Linked DNA regions of Drosophila melanogaster. The gene in region 1 interacts genetically with each later gene. Each region holds a gene or a part of one and is shown on either strand. Other genes may lie near its edges.

Region 1 (8,139 bases):
CCACCTATCCTTTCTCATTTGCTGCTTAATGCATTTTCCAAAGCTTACTTTTTACTTATTAAAAAGTAATAATAAATTTGGCTCAATCTTTATGAACTTCCGATAAGTTCCTCAAACAAAACAGACCAAACTTCAAGCGTCTGGCTTTTACCATGGTATTATTCGCCCATAATACTAATTGCCCTGGCGAAAACAAAACACAAACAAACCAAAGTTGGTGATTTTTGATCTGCTGCTTTCTTCCCGGACAACACTCACACATGGACAAACAGTGCATAAAGGCTATAGTTATATGAGGCACATTTACATCTGCTTAAGACAGTGACAGATACTTTCTCTTTTCCCCGCTCGAGAGTGATGAAAGTCGGGTTAAAAATAGAATGGCGAGCGAGTGGAGAGCGGATGGCCGCCCCTTGCATTCATTTATAGTTTTCAGTGATTTGGCTTTTTGATGAAGACTCATAATTACGCTGGTTTTTGTCACTGTACAATGGCCGAATTGTTGGAGTGTCGGAGGTGTTTACAAAGTTCAAGTGTTTGGGAGCAGCTGCGCAGCCAGCGTTTATTTTTAGCACGAAAGAGCAGCGAGAGCGAAGCAGCGAGAAGAGCGGCGAAGAGAACGTGCGCAAGTGCATTTTTAAAATCAGAATCGGATGCTGCACGCTCTTGCTCTTGCTCTCAGTAAGCGTGATTACGAATTTGGATTTTCTATTCGTAGTTTTTTTGTGTGTGTTTTTGATTGGCATTTTCTCACCTGGTCGATCCAATGACTGTCTGCGACTCATTGGCAAAAGATTTGTGCTGCTCTTCTGTTGTGTGGTGTTTTTTTCAGGGGGGTTTTATAGACAATAACGTCGGCGAATGCAAATTATGCCAATTTTGATTGATTCATTGGGTAATTTGTTGCTGCTGGTTGTTGGTTCCTTTTGGCTATTGCTTTTGCTTATTTCCTTTTGCCGCGCTGCTTCTTACTCAATTCTATACACTCAACACACACACACGCGGACATCTTTCGAATTTCATTTCACACGCGACTGTTGACTTTCTTTTTGCCCCTCTCTCACTCTAACGCGCTCTTTCTTTTTCTCACTCTCTGAGAACTCGACAGATGTTGTTGTTGTGGGGCCTTTTTTTGATTTGAGGTGTTGCTGCTTCTGCTTCTATTGCAATTTGTGACGTGCTGTTGTGATTTGTTTGTTGCTGGCTTGTGGTTTGAAAAACGCTTTTTCGACAACACACATATGGGGAGCACGCACACACTCACTCGCCAGCAGCCAGCACACACACACAAACACACACGCACGCACACATTCACTCTCGCGCGTCACGTCAATGAACGCAGCAGCACGTAGTTGTTGTTTTCGTCACTGATTCTCGCCTTGTACGCACATTTTGCTGGCTAATCGAAGCACTTGATCGGCAACTGCTCATCAGAGCCTTGTTTATTTACATTGCAGCACGGGGCTAGTGCACTTTCCCCGATTTTATGCGTTTTTCTCTCGATTCGCACGGCCGTACAACGAGCGCCGCCGCCGCAAACAAAGGGAAATGGTGAATGCTAGAGCTGGAAGAGAAGCCGATGGTTAGTCGATACTATCGATGTATACAGATAACTGGCAGCATCGATGTTTGCCCCGCAACCATCGATTGTATTCACTCTAAAAAATATGGTTTTCTACAAGAATTCAATGTTTATAAATAAAACAGTCACTTTAATAAAAGCTTAGAAAACTCTTTGTGATTTATAAAGATTTAAGCGCGTTGTTTACGATAAGTTATAAAAACTAGGGTTGACACCTGTCTGTGAAAGACTTTTTGAATGTAAATAAACATCAAGACGGCAATAACGTAACGAAATTAAATTGATAAATAACTTTATTTTACTAGTTTAACAAATAAGAATATAAAGAAAACCATACAAGTTTCCGCACTAAAAACAAAATATATTATTTTTAGAACACGAAATAGTAAGCGATATTTTGAAATGCGGAACTGAGTATTTCAGGCACATCTGACAGCCCTGAAACAATGCAGACCAGACATTAGGTCGGGGACGTGTGCTAGACCGAGATGTCTGCTAGTACTGCTTTTGTCTCACTCGCGCACGAAGAGGTAGAGAAGAAAAAAACCAAAACGAAGTGGGCAAACTAGCGAACTTCACAAAACCCTCGACAAGACAACTTTGTATTATTGCCCTATTTCTCCTTGGTTATTATTACCGCGGCTGGGCGAGGTATCCCTTAATGTTCGATTAATAACATTTCCGCAGATTTCCCGCACTTTTGCTGCACTCCGAACTGTTGTTTTATCGACTGCCCGAAATCGATTGGTCGATGGGCGATAAGCCCTACGGGCGAAATTTTACCAACACTGGTCGATAGCCAACTATCGTATCGTATCGCCTAATTACAAAAAATAAATATAAATGAAGTGAAGCGGACGCAGCAACAAAAACAAAGAGATTGCTACGATCAAAATGCTACGGGTAAGTGACCTGATCGGCGATGAAAACGCATATAGAGTTCAGTGTGCACATATACCTTTATCTCCCTGTACGACAGGCAATCGGGAAACGGGACAGGGACATCTTCGAGGAAGTTTGGCCGGACAAAAGGCGAATAGTTTTAAAGCTACTGCGCCAGGACACGGTGTCGCAGCGCGAATGGCAGGACCTATTCTTCGGCGTACACTTCGTGTGCCTGTGGGACGAGAAGGGCGCGGCCAAGATCTACGACTGCCTGCAGCAGGACATCGTTGAGTTTATCGTCCAGGCCCAAAGCCAGGTGCAAGCGCAACGGGGCGAGCAGGCCCTTCTGGCCACCTATATTGTGGAGTGGCGGAAGTTCTTTACACAGTCCAACTACCTGCCGCTGCCTTTCCGCCAGCTGGAGCAGTCGCCCCAGGTGAAGCCCTCCTCCAGTGGCAGCAGCTCCTCCGCATCCGTCTCCGCCTCGGGAGCGAGTACGAGTGCCGCCGCGGCGGCAGCAGCTACTTCCTGCAGCGGCCAGGCTGGAAAGTCAGGAGCCTCCACCTCAGCCGCAGCTGGAGCCTCCACTTCAGCCGCCGCTGCTGCAGCCTCCACATCCGCCTCCACAAGCTCAGCAGCGGCAGCTGCAGCTGCTTCCGGAAGTGGGAGCTCCAGCAGCAGCACCTCTACCTCCAAGAAAAACCCCACGGAGGACAGTCCTGTACGAAAACTAATGCTGGACTCCTGGAACAAGCACATATTCCACGACATCAAGCATCGTCTGCAGGAGTCGGCCATGAAGATTGTGCACGCCGAGCGGAACGGCGATGCCTATGATGCCCAGCTAGTGGTAGGCGTGCGCGAGAGCTATGTGAATCTCTCCTCGAATGCAGAGGACAAACTAGAGATCTACAGGGAGAACTTTGAGATGGCGTACCTTAAGGCCACTGTCGAGTTCTATCGCCTGAAATCCGCCGAACAACAGCAAGAGAACGGAGTGCTGGCCTATATGAAATACGCCGACTCAAAGTTGCGTGAGGAGGAGGTTAGGGCCAAGCGGTATCTGGAGCCCAGCAGCTTCAGTATACTTACTTACACGCTGGTTAATGTGCTCATAGTGGACCACCTCAACTCAATCATCGCCGAGTGTCCGGCTTTGATCAGGGACTATGAAACGGAGCGATTGAATCTCATGTTCCGCCTGATGGATAGAGTGATGCACGGCGTTGGCGTGGAGCCCATGATGGGTGACCTGCAGCGTCACATCATGTCCGCCGGACTGGCCGACATGCTGTCCGCTTCGGAGGTGATTACCCAGGATTCGGAAAAGTACGTTGAGCGGCTACTTGAGCTGTTCAACAAGTTCAGCGACCTGGTACGCAACGCCTTCAACGACGATCCCCGCTTCCTCACTGCCCGCGACATTGCTTTTAAGACGGTAGTCAACGACACCAGCGTGTTCAAGATGGAGCTACCCACGAGTATCGCCAATCGGGGTGTAAAGTACACAGCGCCGGAGAGCAAATGCCCGGAACTACTGGCCAACTATTGCGACATGCTGCTGCGGCGAACGCCGCTCAGCAAACGCCTCACCAGCGAACAGATCGACGCCCGTCTGCGCGATGTCCTCTTGGTCCTGAAGTACGTCAACAACAAGGACGTCTTTATGCGCTATCACAAAGTTCATTTGACGAGGCGGTAAGTTGACTGCATAATGTTTCAAATGAAGCGATTACATACTCTTGTTCCTCCAATTACAGCTTGATTCTGGGGACCAGTGCGGACAGCGAAAAGGAGGAGGACATAGTCGAGTGGCTGAGGGAGGTGGGCATGCCGGCGGACTACGTGAATCGGCTGGCGCGCATGTTCCAAGACATAAAGGTAGGTTTTACCAGACTGATGTTAGGAGCAGGTTTATTCATTATCCCCTTTCGTATATAGGTCAGCGAAGACTTAAATACTCAATTCCGCACCTCGATAAGTCGGCACGATGCTATCAACATAAAAATACTCAACGCGGGTGCCTGGGCCCGCTGTTCGGAGCGAGTCTCGGTCTCACTGCCCATCGAGCTCGAGGACTATATTCCTGATGTGGAGGAGTTTTACAAGAAGAAGCATTCCGGCCGTAAGCTGCAGTGGTACCATCACATGAGCAATGGCACTATCACCTTTGTGAATAACTTCGGGCGCTACGATCTGGATGTGACCACTTTCCAGATGGCCGTCTTGTTTGCCTGGAATCAGCGTCAGCATGACAAAATTTCCTACGAGAATCTCCGCCTGGCCACAGAACTACCAGGTTAGGATTGCTTGCAAATTTACTTTTCGCTTTGATGATAATTATTTGTGTATTTTTAAGATCCCGAACTGAGGCGAACGTTGTGGTCGCTGGTAGCGTTCCCTAAGATAAAGAAACAGATCCTGCTCATGGAACCGGCGGCGATCAGTTCGCCCAAGGACTTTGCCGAGAACACAATGTTCTATATTAATCAGGAATTTGCTATTGTCAAGAATGGCAAATCCCAGCGTCGTGGAAAGGTGATTACGCATATTAGCTATCTAATAGATAATCCATAACCAGAGTTCTCACCCGCAGCTGAATCTCATCGGGCGACTGCAATTGAGCACGGAGCGCTCGCAGCAGGAGGACAATCAATCCATTGTGCAACTGCGTATTCTGCGCACACAAGAGGCCATTATCAAAATCATGAAAGTGCGCAAGCGGATGAACAACGCAGCGCTGCAGGTTCGTTGTTCGATAGCTAGTTGTGCGTTTCAAGGGATCTAAAAAAAAAACATTCTTCTACAGGGTGAACTCATCGACATATTGAAGAACATGTTCCTGCCGTCCAAGAAGATGATCAAGGAGCAGCTGGAGTGGCTGATTGAGAACAAGTATATGAGACGGGACGACGATGATATCAACATGTTCATTTACGTGGCCTAAGCAGCTGCTCCTGATCCCGGCTCTAGTCTCAGTCCCGTCTATGCAGTCATTCCCATTTCCATTCCCTCACACGCTACTCAAAAACTATTGCGATTTTAATCTCAACGCCGACGTGCTCAAAGCACGCGCCCTTTTTCTGTCTACGGAATTGGATAATTGTATTATATGGAAACGTGATTCGCTACTGACATTGCGCCCTCAGAGCATTTAAAAGACCCACACTCCAATCGGCAGCCATTTTCTCGTGTCCACGTCCTGTATTTGTGAAACTTTGTATTTTTATATTGGCCCACTGGCTGCTCTGCGTAGCTCTAGATATTATGTTTTGTGCGCTACATGCACCCTGGAAATTCCGAACCCACGCCCACGCCCTGCCCCCGAGTATATCGATCGATAGCGTTAATCTAATCAACCTGCTGTTTTCTATGTGTGTAGTTATCCCTTGTTTGTTTCCGTTGCCTGGTCTTCTGTTGATTCTTGGGTATTTTGCAATGTTCCACGTGAGACTCACACACCTCCTGAAGATTGATGGGGAAGCCAATTCTTCGTCTCCGCTCGCTCCCAGCATGGAATGCCTAATCACACACAAACACTCACACGGGATCGCAAAACTATAACTAAAATAGCAATACTTTATGTTTAAGTTAATGAATAAATTTGGTTCTACACATAATGAAAGCGAATCTATTGCAGTTTTATTTTTAACTGGTTACTGCAACTGAAGGGCGAATAAAAATCGAATGCATTTCATTATACCATAATGCTTATTTTCTTTATTTAACTTACGTGTGTAGAGGGGCGGATGTTAGGTTAGCGTTCTAAAAGTAAAAACCTATATTAATAATTAAAAACAAGGTCAAATGATTTCTGCAGCAAGTGCACCAAAATACCAGGACAAGAGTTACACAATTGTGACATACAATCAAACCCATTAAAATTAAACTAAATATCGAAAATAGACAAAAACGGGCTGACCTATTAATATAATCAAAGACTGACAAATAGAGCATTTTAAAAAACACGTCTAAATAAAAGGAACCCTATTCTATTCTAGCTGCCACTATCATCTATGACTTATAAACCTATAGCTAAAATACTATTGAAGCGAGCATATGTCTCGGTGAGGGCAGGTCGATCTTTTCCGTAGAAAAGAAACAGCTAGCTCCTTCATATCAAGTATAAGATCAAACGTTTCCAAAAAGCCATTGACTCAAGGGTAATCATTTCACCTTCTTATCTTAGGGAGGAATCACGGCCGTACATAAATGGGAATCTACCGTCTCTTCCGACCTTTCTTATAGCCCTTGCCATACCATCCTGCCTGGGTTCGCGCCAACTTCCGTGGAAAACTCGTGCTCAGCTGCTGTCTTCGCTTTGCCGTTTCCGCCGCTGCTATGTGTGCCAAGGATATATTCTCATCGTAGTCATCGTCGTCGTCGGAAGTTGGACAGCACTCGCAGACCACGAACCGACCGCTTCTGGCCCGTTTCTTGTGTTTGCGCTGACTGAGGTTCCAACGCCGGTAAAACTGGCACTCCAGCTCCGCATACCGATCAAAGCAGAAGAAACAACTGGCAGCGGATCTGTTCATCGCAAAGTTCGGCACCACCTGCGAGTTCCAAATATTGAGATCCGCTGGTGGTGGGATCAGGATGCTATGCAGACCAGAATACGCGTACTTGGCATCGTACCACGTGGGTAATTGGCGAAGCAGCTCCTCATCGTTGTTTTGCCTCAACAAATCCATCTGGGCCAGCTCGCTTTCCTCCTCCTCTTCGTTATCGTTCTCTGTGCTGGAATCACCATCGCCCTCGCTCTTTATCTGTATGCTGGACGACTGAGAGGCAGGTGGCAGGACCAATTTGGGCTCAACAAAGGGTGTGGACAGTGGTGCTCCAATGGGCACCAGCGGTGGCAGCTGAAGCGGCTTTAGTCTTGATTCAGTTGGGACCGCGGACAAACATTCCGCATGAGTTTTTTGTATGGCGACTAGTTTTGGCAGCTCTGGAAAACCATTGCTCGGCGTTTCCTCCGTCTCTTCTTTGAGCGAAAGTGGTTCTAGCTTTGGTAGCAGCTCCAAAAGTTTCAACTCCTGCTGAAAATTGGTGTCCGAGCACTCTAATTTCTCCAGCTTAACTTCAGTCTCTATTTTAATGGACGACTCCAGCGTGATTAAGTCCTTCTCTGTTTTAACCTCCCCATTTGTTTTCACATGCTCCACCTTAATTTCCTCGTCCTGGCCATTGAGCGTCTTGAATTTCTGTCGGAGCTCCAGGTTAGTCTTAACTCTTCGACCATTTTTGATGGGTGTGCGAATGCGGGGTCCTTTGCCGATGGGAAGATCACTGTAGTTAAAGCTACAGCTCTCGCTGGAGATAGTCGAGTCTTGCGTTTCCTCAGTGGTAGTGGTGAAGGCCTCCTCCTCGTCGGCATTCTTCAGCAATGGTTGTGTAAGCGTGTGCAGTTCCTCGGGCATCAGAAGCGAAGCATGTGCGAAAATCGGATCCTTCTCTTTCGTGTAAACGGGAACTGGAATGTGGAGTAGATGCATCAATTGGGCCATCACCTGATCGCATTTCCCATTGATCTTTATGCTAGCAATCGCATCCTTGGGCGTCCACTGCAAGTTGACCACACAGATCTTTGCTCGCTGGCGGGCAGGCCGGTCCATCTGCCAAAGCCAAGTGTACTTCTTGAGTACCTTGAGACTGGAGCCCAAGCAGAG
Region 2 (7,380 bases), on another chromosome or scaffold:
AACTACGCTCTTTGGAAAACAACAAATAAAAACAAGTATCACCCTACTCAAAATTGTGCTTAACGGACTCGACGTAAGCTGGTGTCGCACGTCCCAGGACAAGGCTTTTGCTAGCAATCTGGAGCAACTCTTCAGACCACTCAAATTAGTCCATGCCAGTCGTTAAAAACGCTCTTCCAAATGGCACTTTCTGTCGATCCAGTAACTCTAGAAGAATTGCAGTGCTTTGTGAGTAAACTAAAACCAAAGAAAGCCCAGGGTAATCACCTGATTGATAACAAAAAAATAGAGAATTCTATAGACAAGATCACCAACTATCAGATACCCGTTACTCAGCTAGTGTGAATGCGAACGTGAAATTTCATAATTTTTCTGGAAGATCGATAGATATTGGGAATAAAATGAGAAAAAACTTAAATATAGTTCCAAAGAGTGGGCGTGACCAGTTCGCTGGCTTTAGGGCGTTGGAGTGGCAAATCGATAGAAATTTACAAGGCTAATAAAATTTTGAAAAAATATCGAAACGTTTATCAAAAATGTGGGCGTGGCAGTTTTGGGCGTTTTAGGGCGTTAGAGTGGTCGAGGCAAATATTTTTTTTTACAAATCGATAAAAATTCACATAGATAATAAAATTATAAAAAAATATGGAAACGTTTTTTAAAAATGTGGGCGTGGCAGTTTTAGGCGATTTTAGGGCGTTAGAGTGGCCGAGGCAAAAGTTTTTTTGCAATTCGATAAAAATTCACATAGATAATAAAATTATGAAAAAATATGGAAACGTTTTTCAAAAATGTGGGCGTGGCAGTTTTGGGCGATTTTAGGGCGTTAGGGTGGCCGAGGCAAATATTTTTTTTGCAAATCGATAAAAATTCACAAAAATAATAGAATTATGAACAAATGTGGAAACGTTTTTCAAAATTGTGGGCGTGGCAGTTTTGGGAGATTTTAGGGCGATAGAGTGGACGTGGCAAAACATTTTTTGAAAGTCGACAGAAATGTACAAGACAAATAAAAATGTGATAAAAAATATCGACACGTTTTTCAAAAGTGTGGGCGTGGCAGTTTTGTGCGGTTTGTGGGAGTGACAACATGGGTCAACAAACTTGCGCTGCGTCTTTGTCTCTATTCTTTGTCTTCTATTCTGAATGCTGAATCTCAACCTTCTAGCTATTATAGTTGTTGATACGTTAATACGGACATGGCTAGAACGACTCGGCTATTTATCCTGATCAATAATATATTTACTTTATGTGATCGGAAACGCTTCCTTCTGCCTGTTATATATCCTAGTATGCCCTTTAATTCTACGAGTAACCAGAATAAAAAGCGAAGGTAATTTTTTTGCCCAACGGTACAGCGCTGTGCAATAATAAACTGTTTAAAAATGTCCATATGAACATCAAGATCGCAGCTAGAATGTTGAGATTCAGCGTAAAGATTCTAGAGACAAAACTACCGTACCGGTCACGCCTACACTTTGGAACTATTTTTACTCTTATCTCTTGTTATTTATATATTTTATATTAAATTCATTGGATTGAAATTTGAACACTATGTCATATAGCAGTAAAAGTATGTTATTAAAGAAGATTATTATTTTATTAATGGAAAAGATATCCTAGAAAAAAGCATTGTACCCGTATTTAATTAAATAGAATTTTGAGATAAAAAAGAAAACAAAACATTTTTCTTAAACTTTTTATCGGAGTTGCCTACCTCATTTTATTTCCGGTCCTAAAGCAATTTATTAAAATGCGAAGATTTTCGCTTCTATGAATCTATTAGCGGTGGTCAGGTTTTTCAAGCTCTACATTAATGAATTTAGTGACCAGAAACATTGCAGAACTCACAGGTCGCAGGGCTGAGGCTTGAGGCAAGAAGGACAGACCTACACAAATCAGATGTTCTGCTACTTTGCACCTGGTTGACTGACGCATAGCTTGTTACGGCTGCGTCCTGCAACACTGCTCCAGAAACGATGCCATGTTGGAATTGAATTCTTTAAGACTGGTTCTCCAAATGCTGCTCCCATTTCGCCAGACTTTCCGGATCCAGCTTTTGGATAAGTACTTGGGCGATAATTCATCCAACGATTTGTGTCGTTGAGCCCATTCCATTTAGCGCGCGAATATGAGCGTTGAATTTATCACACAGTTTACAAAGCATTGAAACGGAACCATTCTGAACTGCCCTTGCCCTAGAATCTCAGTAATGTGTGCCTGGAATATTAAACAAACAGACAAATTCAATGCTATAGCATAGTTGCCATCCGATATTTCAAGTGCAGTGTCCCTCAGACATGTTCTTAGATGCTGCAACTTTTCTATGTTTGTTAGTTCAGGATGGCTATCTATTATCGTAGTAAACATAGAATAGAAGTCCAGCCAGATAGCTCGCCCAAGAGGGGGCAGCGACGTCCTATGCCGGAGTGCTACTTAATTGAAGTGTTAAAGCTTTAAACAGCTTTGCGAGCTTGTTGCAAATTATTGTTTATTAGCTGTTTTTGAGCAATGAAAAGACGAGTTTTGTGTAGCGATTTTGAACGATATGTTTAATAATAGCCGACATGTAAAAAAGATTTTGTCAAAACTTATACATGAGAAATGTTGTGTAAATTTTTGAGAAATTAATTGAAAAATGGTAACATTAAGGACAGTTGTTGAAATTAGGTACAATATTACCATTTGTAAGCGTATGTAAAACGAGCGGTAGAATAACAGTATATTATCGTATCATACGTTGAACGAACTGAGAGGCAGTTCAGTCGCGTAAAGTCAAAGCCAAGAATGTAGAAGGAAGCACATTGCCGCGCGGAGTCGCAATAAACAATCGGATGTCATCAAAAAAAGTGCAACCTGCAAAAACAATATATGGCAGTTAAGCATCTAATTATTCTTTATTATTCTTTGAACGAGCCGTATTCGGTAAGGAGAACCCGGTTTTCAATTAATAACGCCGAGTAAAATAAACTGTTTTAGTTATTTTATATTTATATTTTTTTATTTACCCGTTATTCAGCTAATGCCAGCTTTTGGCATAAATATTAATAAAATGAAAAATTGTTTGGCAGTTTAGGCGTAATGCGACAGTAGGTAAAATGTGCCTGTCATACCGTAAAAACAAGCGAGACAGATAATTGTTTTTATGAATTATTACAGTTTTTTGGTTTGGGTAAACCAAAAATTTGCAATTGTAAACTTATCAAGTTACTTTTACGCATGGGGTCAATCAGATACCTTTAATTTAAAAAATTGTAATATGGTGATAAAATGAATAACTTCATTTAAAAAGATTTTAAAATTTGTTTAATTTACATTATGTTGTGCTAAATCTTGAAACGGCTTGACTTAGAAAGTCTTTACCAAACTTCGGTCTTTGAAGTTAAATTAAATTATATAATTTCGAAGAAATTATTAGTCTTTTCCAAAATCCCACTCATTCCGCACATGACAAAAATCGTTACATGTCACAACACTGTTGATGTACGGTATAAGTGGATATACAAACAAATGAATGTTTTGTGCATCAAAGGTTCCTGAGTGATATTTTGCTTTATGTGTTGTTTTATTTTAATCATAGCAAATCGACAAGATAAAAGTAATGTAAGTTTCACAGGAACTGATAAATGAAATTCACACATATCTAACGTGGGAATTGATCAATTAATTATAAATATGGAATGTAAGAACATATGTATGTTCATATTTATAAACGTTAATCAGATAAAAATTTGAGATATGTGATAAAAATAATTATATGTGAAAACTTATCTGTACATATTGAACTTCATGTATTCAATCTCCTTGGATTGAATTTGTATGAGCGTACAAAAACACTATAAGAATATTAATTAGGAGTGAATCTGATATCACCAAAAATACATACATACGTAATTGCATACAATCTTAAAGATTTGTTGGAGAATATATTATAGGGAAGGAAGCGTTTCCCTAATGCATAAAGTATTTAAGCATATGTATATAAATAACTATATTATTGATCAGGATTACTAGACAAGTCGATCTGGCCATGGGCTTGCTTCAGTTATATGATTTTCGAATTTTTTTTTTATGAATAGTTCGTCGGTGCTGTAGCAACTTTTCATTTATTTTCTATTAACTTTAACAGTAAAGTTGAATCAATACGAAATTTTGGTTAGTATAAAAATTACATTTAAACCAAGACTGCATCACTACTTTTCTTTTAAAAGGTAATATGCAGGCTTAACTCAATGAAGGCGGCGCAAGCCGCTTTTACACTAGCATATTGTTAATTCACACAATGTAAAGTTTACTTTAACTTACTTCACTACATCCTTTAGTCATTCAGACTATACGCTATTTGTTATACTCGTTATACCCGTAGAGTAACAGGGTTCCTAGATCCGTTGAAAACTATGTAGCAGGAGGAAGGAAGCGTTTCCGACTATATAAAGTATATACAAACATATGTAAATACATATATTCTTGATCGAGACAATCTGACCATGTCCGTCTGTCCATATCAGCATCAAGATCAGCCAAAATGTTGAGATTCAGCATACAGATTCTAAAAACATAGACGCAGCGCAAGTTTGTGACCCATGTTGCCACGCAAACTCTAACGCCCACACACCACACAAAACTGTCAAGCCCACACTTTTAAAAAATGTGTTGATATTTTTTCACATTTTTTTTAGTCTTGTAAATTTCTATCGATTTACAAAAAAAAAATTTCTAACGCCCTTAAACCGCCAAAAACTGCCACGCCCACATTTTTGAACAAATTTCTGGATATTTTTCAATAATTTAATTAGTCTTGTAAATTTGTATCGATATGCCAAAAAACTTTTTGCCACGCCTAATCTAACGCCCTAAAACTTCCCCAAACTGTCACGCCCACACTTTAAAAAAATGTTTAGATTTTTTTTCATTTTTGTTTGTCTTGCCAATTTTTTATCGGTATACCAAAAACACCGTAACCACGCCTCCCCTTTTACCAACAAAACGGTCACGCCCACACTTTTAAACCATTTTTAAATCCTTTTTATTTTATCTTTATCTATCGATATCCCAAAAAATGTATGCAATTTTACGTTCGACTACAGCATTCTGTTTTGTTTTTCTCTCGATTTTTTGGTGCTGGCTCTAGAGATGGCTCCAGGCTCTCTCGAATGTTTGTTTAAGAGCCAGAGTGCGGAAAGATATACAGCCAGCTGCCCTCTTCGGCTGTCACTGTATGCGTAAGAATAAAGGAGACAATGATTGTTGGGTGCTTATGTTCGCACTTCGTGTCTCAAGAAATCATTTTTGCAATAAACAGTCAACGTATTTTTATATATTGTATATACAGTTTGTCAAGAAACTGTTTACACACTGTGAAATAAGTTGAATTTTTGACCTTAAAGGTAAAAATGTTCAAACGCTATTTTTTTATGAAATATATTTTTGTTTTACTTATAAATCAAAAAACAAATTATAAATATTAAATATAAAGAAAAGAATTTTGAGACTGTCAAGAAACTCTACGTTTTCTTTATGTGTTTAATGTATGTATGTATGTTTTTATTATTATTTAGAAATTTATTTTTTGAAATGTAATTTTTTTTTTAAATATTTCACATTGCAACTTTAAAAATTGATGTCGCAAAAGATGTCGTCAGTCCCGTTTTACATATTATTAATTATAAACACAAATTAAGATATGAAACATTTATATGAAACACTTTAAAAATCTAATAGTCAAGGCATACATGTTTAAATATTATTTGAGTAGATCATTTTGCAACGAAATTGCCCGAAACTCTAAATATGTTATATCGGATCTTAGATCAAAATTGATTTCTGCCCGAAAATCGTCTTCTAGCACAAGTACGCACACATACAAACATTCTCCAAAGACGCTAGTTATTCTAGTGTCTTTGCTTTCTCGTTTATTCTTTTAGCACACACAAGCAAGTGTATTATTTTTTTCGATTTTATACCGCTCTCAATTTTACTCAAGCGGAGAGAGAGCAATTTTGACCGTCAACAAAAAAGTGGCTGCATAGTGCAAAACCAATGAATGGCCGTTACGCATCTTGTAATTCTATTGTCTTTGCTTTAACTCGGTCTGTGAAATCAAAACAATAAGGAATTCAATAAGACAACTAGCTGTACAAGCTTTAGGAATGATACGAATAAAAGTGGTTGGCACGCTTTAAATAGCTTTTATGTCGAAATTTTTTTTTTTCGATTTTCCTTTTACTTGAAATCGATCGATACGCTAACTAAGTTTTGAAATATCTTCTTGCCTCGCATCTAAATATCGGATTCCTGGTTGTCTTGATAATCTGTGATTGTTCTGATTATTATATGATTAATATAATACTATATATATATATATATATATATATATACAGTATTGCTAGTATGTTTTCACATTAGTAAAAAAATATATCTTCATAATGTACTACCATAAGTAATAAATATTCAAATTTGCTTATATTCGATTCTTAAGTTTGAAAGCATTGGAAAAACAGTTTATATAAAACACGAAAAGAGACAGAAAAGAATCGCGTGGCGTTTTTGTTTCGCATGCTATATTAAGTCGTAAAGATCGATAAAGTTTTCTTGTGTATTATAAATTTTGTGGCTGTTTTCAAATTATGGTTTGTATTTTGCAAGTAAGTAACAATATATTAATTAAATCAATACATATTTCGTGAAAAATATTTCGATTTTTCTTCGTTATTTTTTCTTTGTCTTGCCATTTTTTATCAGTATACCAATATACTGCGGCCACGCACCCCCTTTCACTTACAAAACGCCCAAAACAGTCCCGACCACACTTTTAAACAATTTACAAAATGTTTCTCATTTTATTCCCCAATATCTTTTGATATCCGAGAAAATGATGAAATTTCGCGTTGCATTCGCACTAGCTGAGTAATAGGGATAGTCGGGAAACTCGACTATAGCGTTCTGTCCTGTTTTTTCATCGGTTCAACAGAAGTAATCAAACGAAACACGATTTACCTAATCATTTTACCAATATTGTATGTTTTAATAAACTTATAAATTCTACCTAATAACATTATATTTTATCTATTTCTTGCAGTATTTAACCCCCCCCCCCCCTAACACAAAAATTACTGGGGCAAAATTTTATACATAATATAAAATAAATAAATTACAAAACTCAAAGTTTTTTTTATTTATTTCTTGGGATCACCTCCTGCTGTTTAGTTCGATACGTTCTACATATAACCGTTAATTTTGAAGAACACTTTTAGCTGTGTTACCGGTAAAAGGTGAGGTGCCAAATAATCGAAAGCTATTAATTAATAAAAAGAAATCTGCAAATGTTCAAATAAAATAAAAAATGTGTACAATAATACAATAATATTTTCAAGAGAGGGT

The links. Genes that interact genetically often act in the same process or in processes that back each other up.
Region 2: of Cul5 (region 1) and gus, changing one enhances a phenotype caused by changing the other (phenotypic enhancement), as found in Drosophila melanogaster (one study listed by BioGRID).

What each region holds. Positions count from the first base shown.
Region 1 is NT_033777.3:29,057,228-29,065,366, reverse strand, and holds Cul5 (cullin 5), read left to right. Parts: upstream 1-2,391; 5' UTR 2,392-2,476; coding exon 2,477-2,485; intron 2,486-2,561; coding exon 2,562-4,165; intron 4,166-4,227; coding exon 4,228-4,348; intron 4,349-4,408; coding exon 4,409-4,766; intron 4,767-4,826; coding exon 4,827-5,005; intron 5,006-5,063; coding exon 5,064-5,213; intron 5,214-5,276; coding exon 5,277-5,414; 3' UTR 5,415-6,095; downstream 6,096-8,139. Other genes in the region: Bicra (BRD4 interacting chromatin remodeling complex associated protein), read right to left, coding at 755-785; Sirt7 (sirtuin 7), read right to left, coding at 6,688-8,139.
Region 2 is NT_033778.4:5,124,449-5,131,828, reverse strand, and holds the start of gus (gustavus), read left to right. Parts: upstream 1-3,507; 5' UTR 3,508-3,603; intron 3,604-4,305; exon of another isoform or gene 4,306-4,426; intron 4,427-4,486; exon of another isoform or gene 4,487-4,580; intron 4,581-7,380. UniProt on the Drosophila melanogaster protein: Involved in the localization of vas to the posterior pole of the oocyte. Required maternally in the germ line for efficient primordial germ cell formation.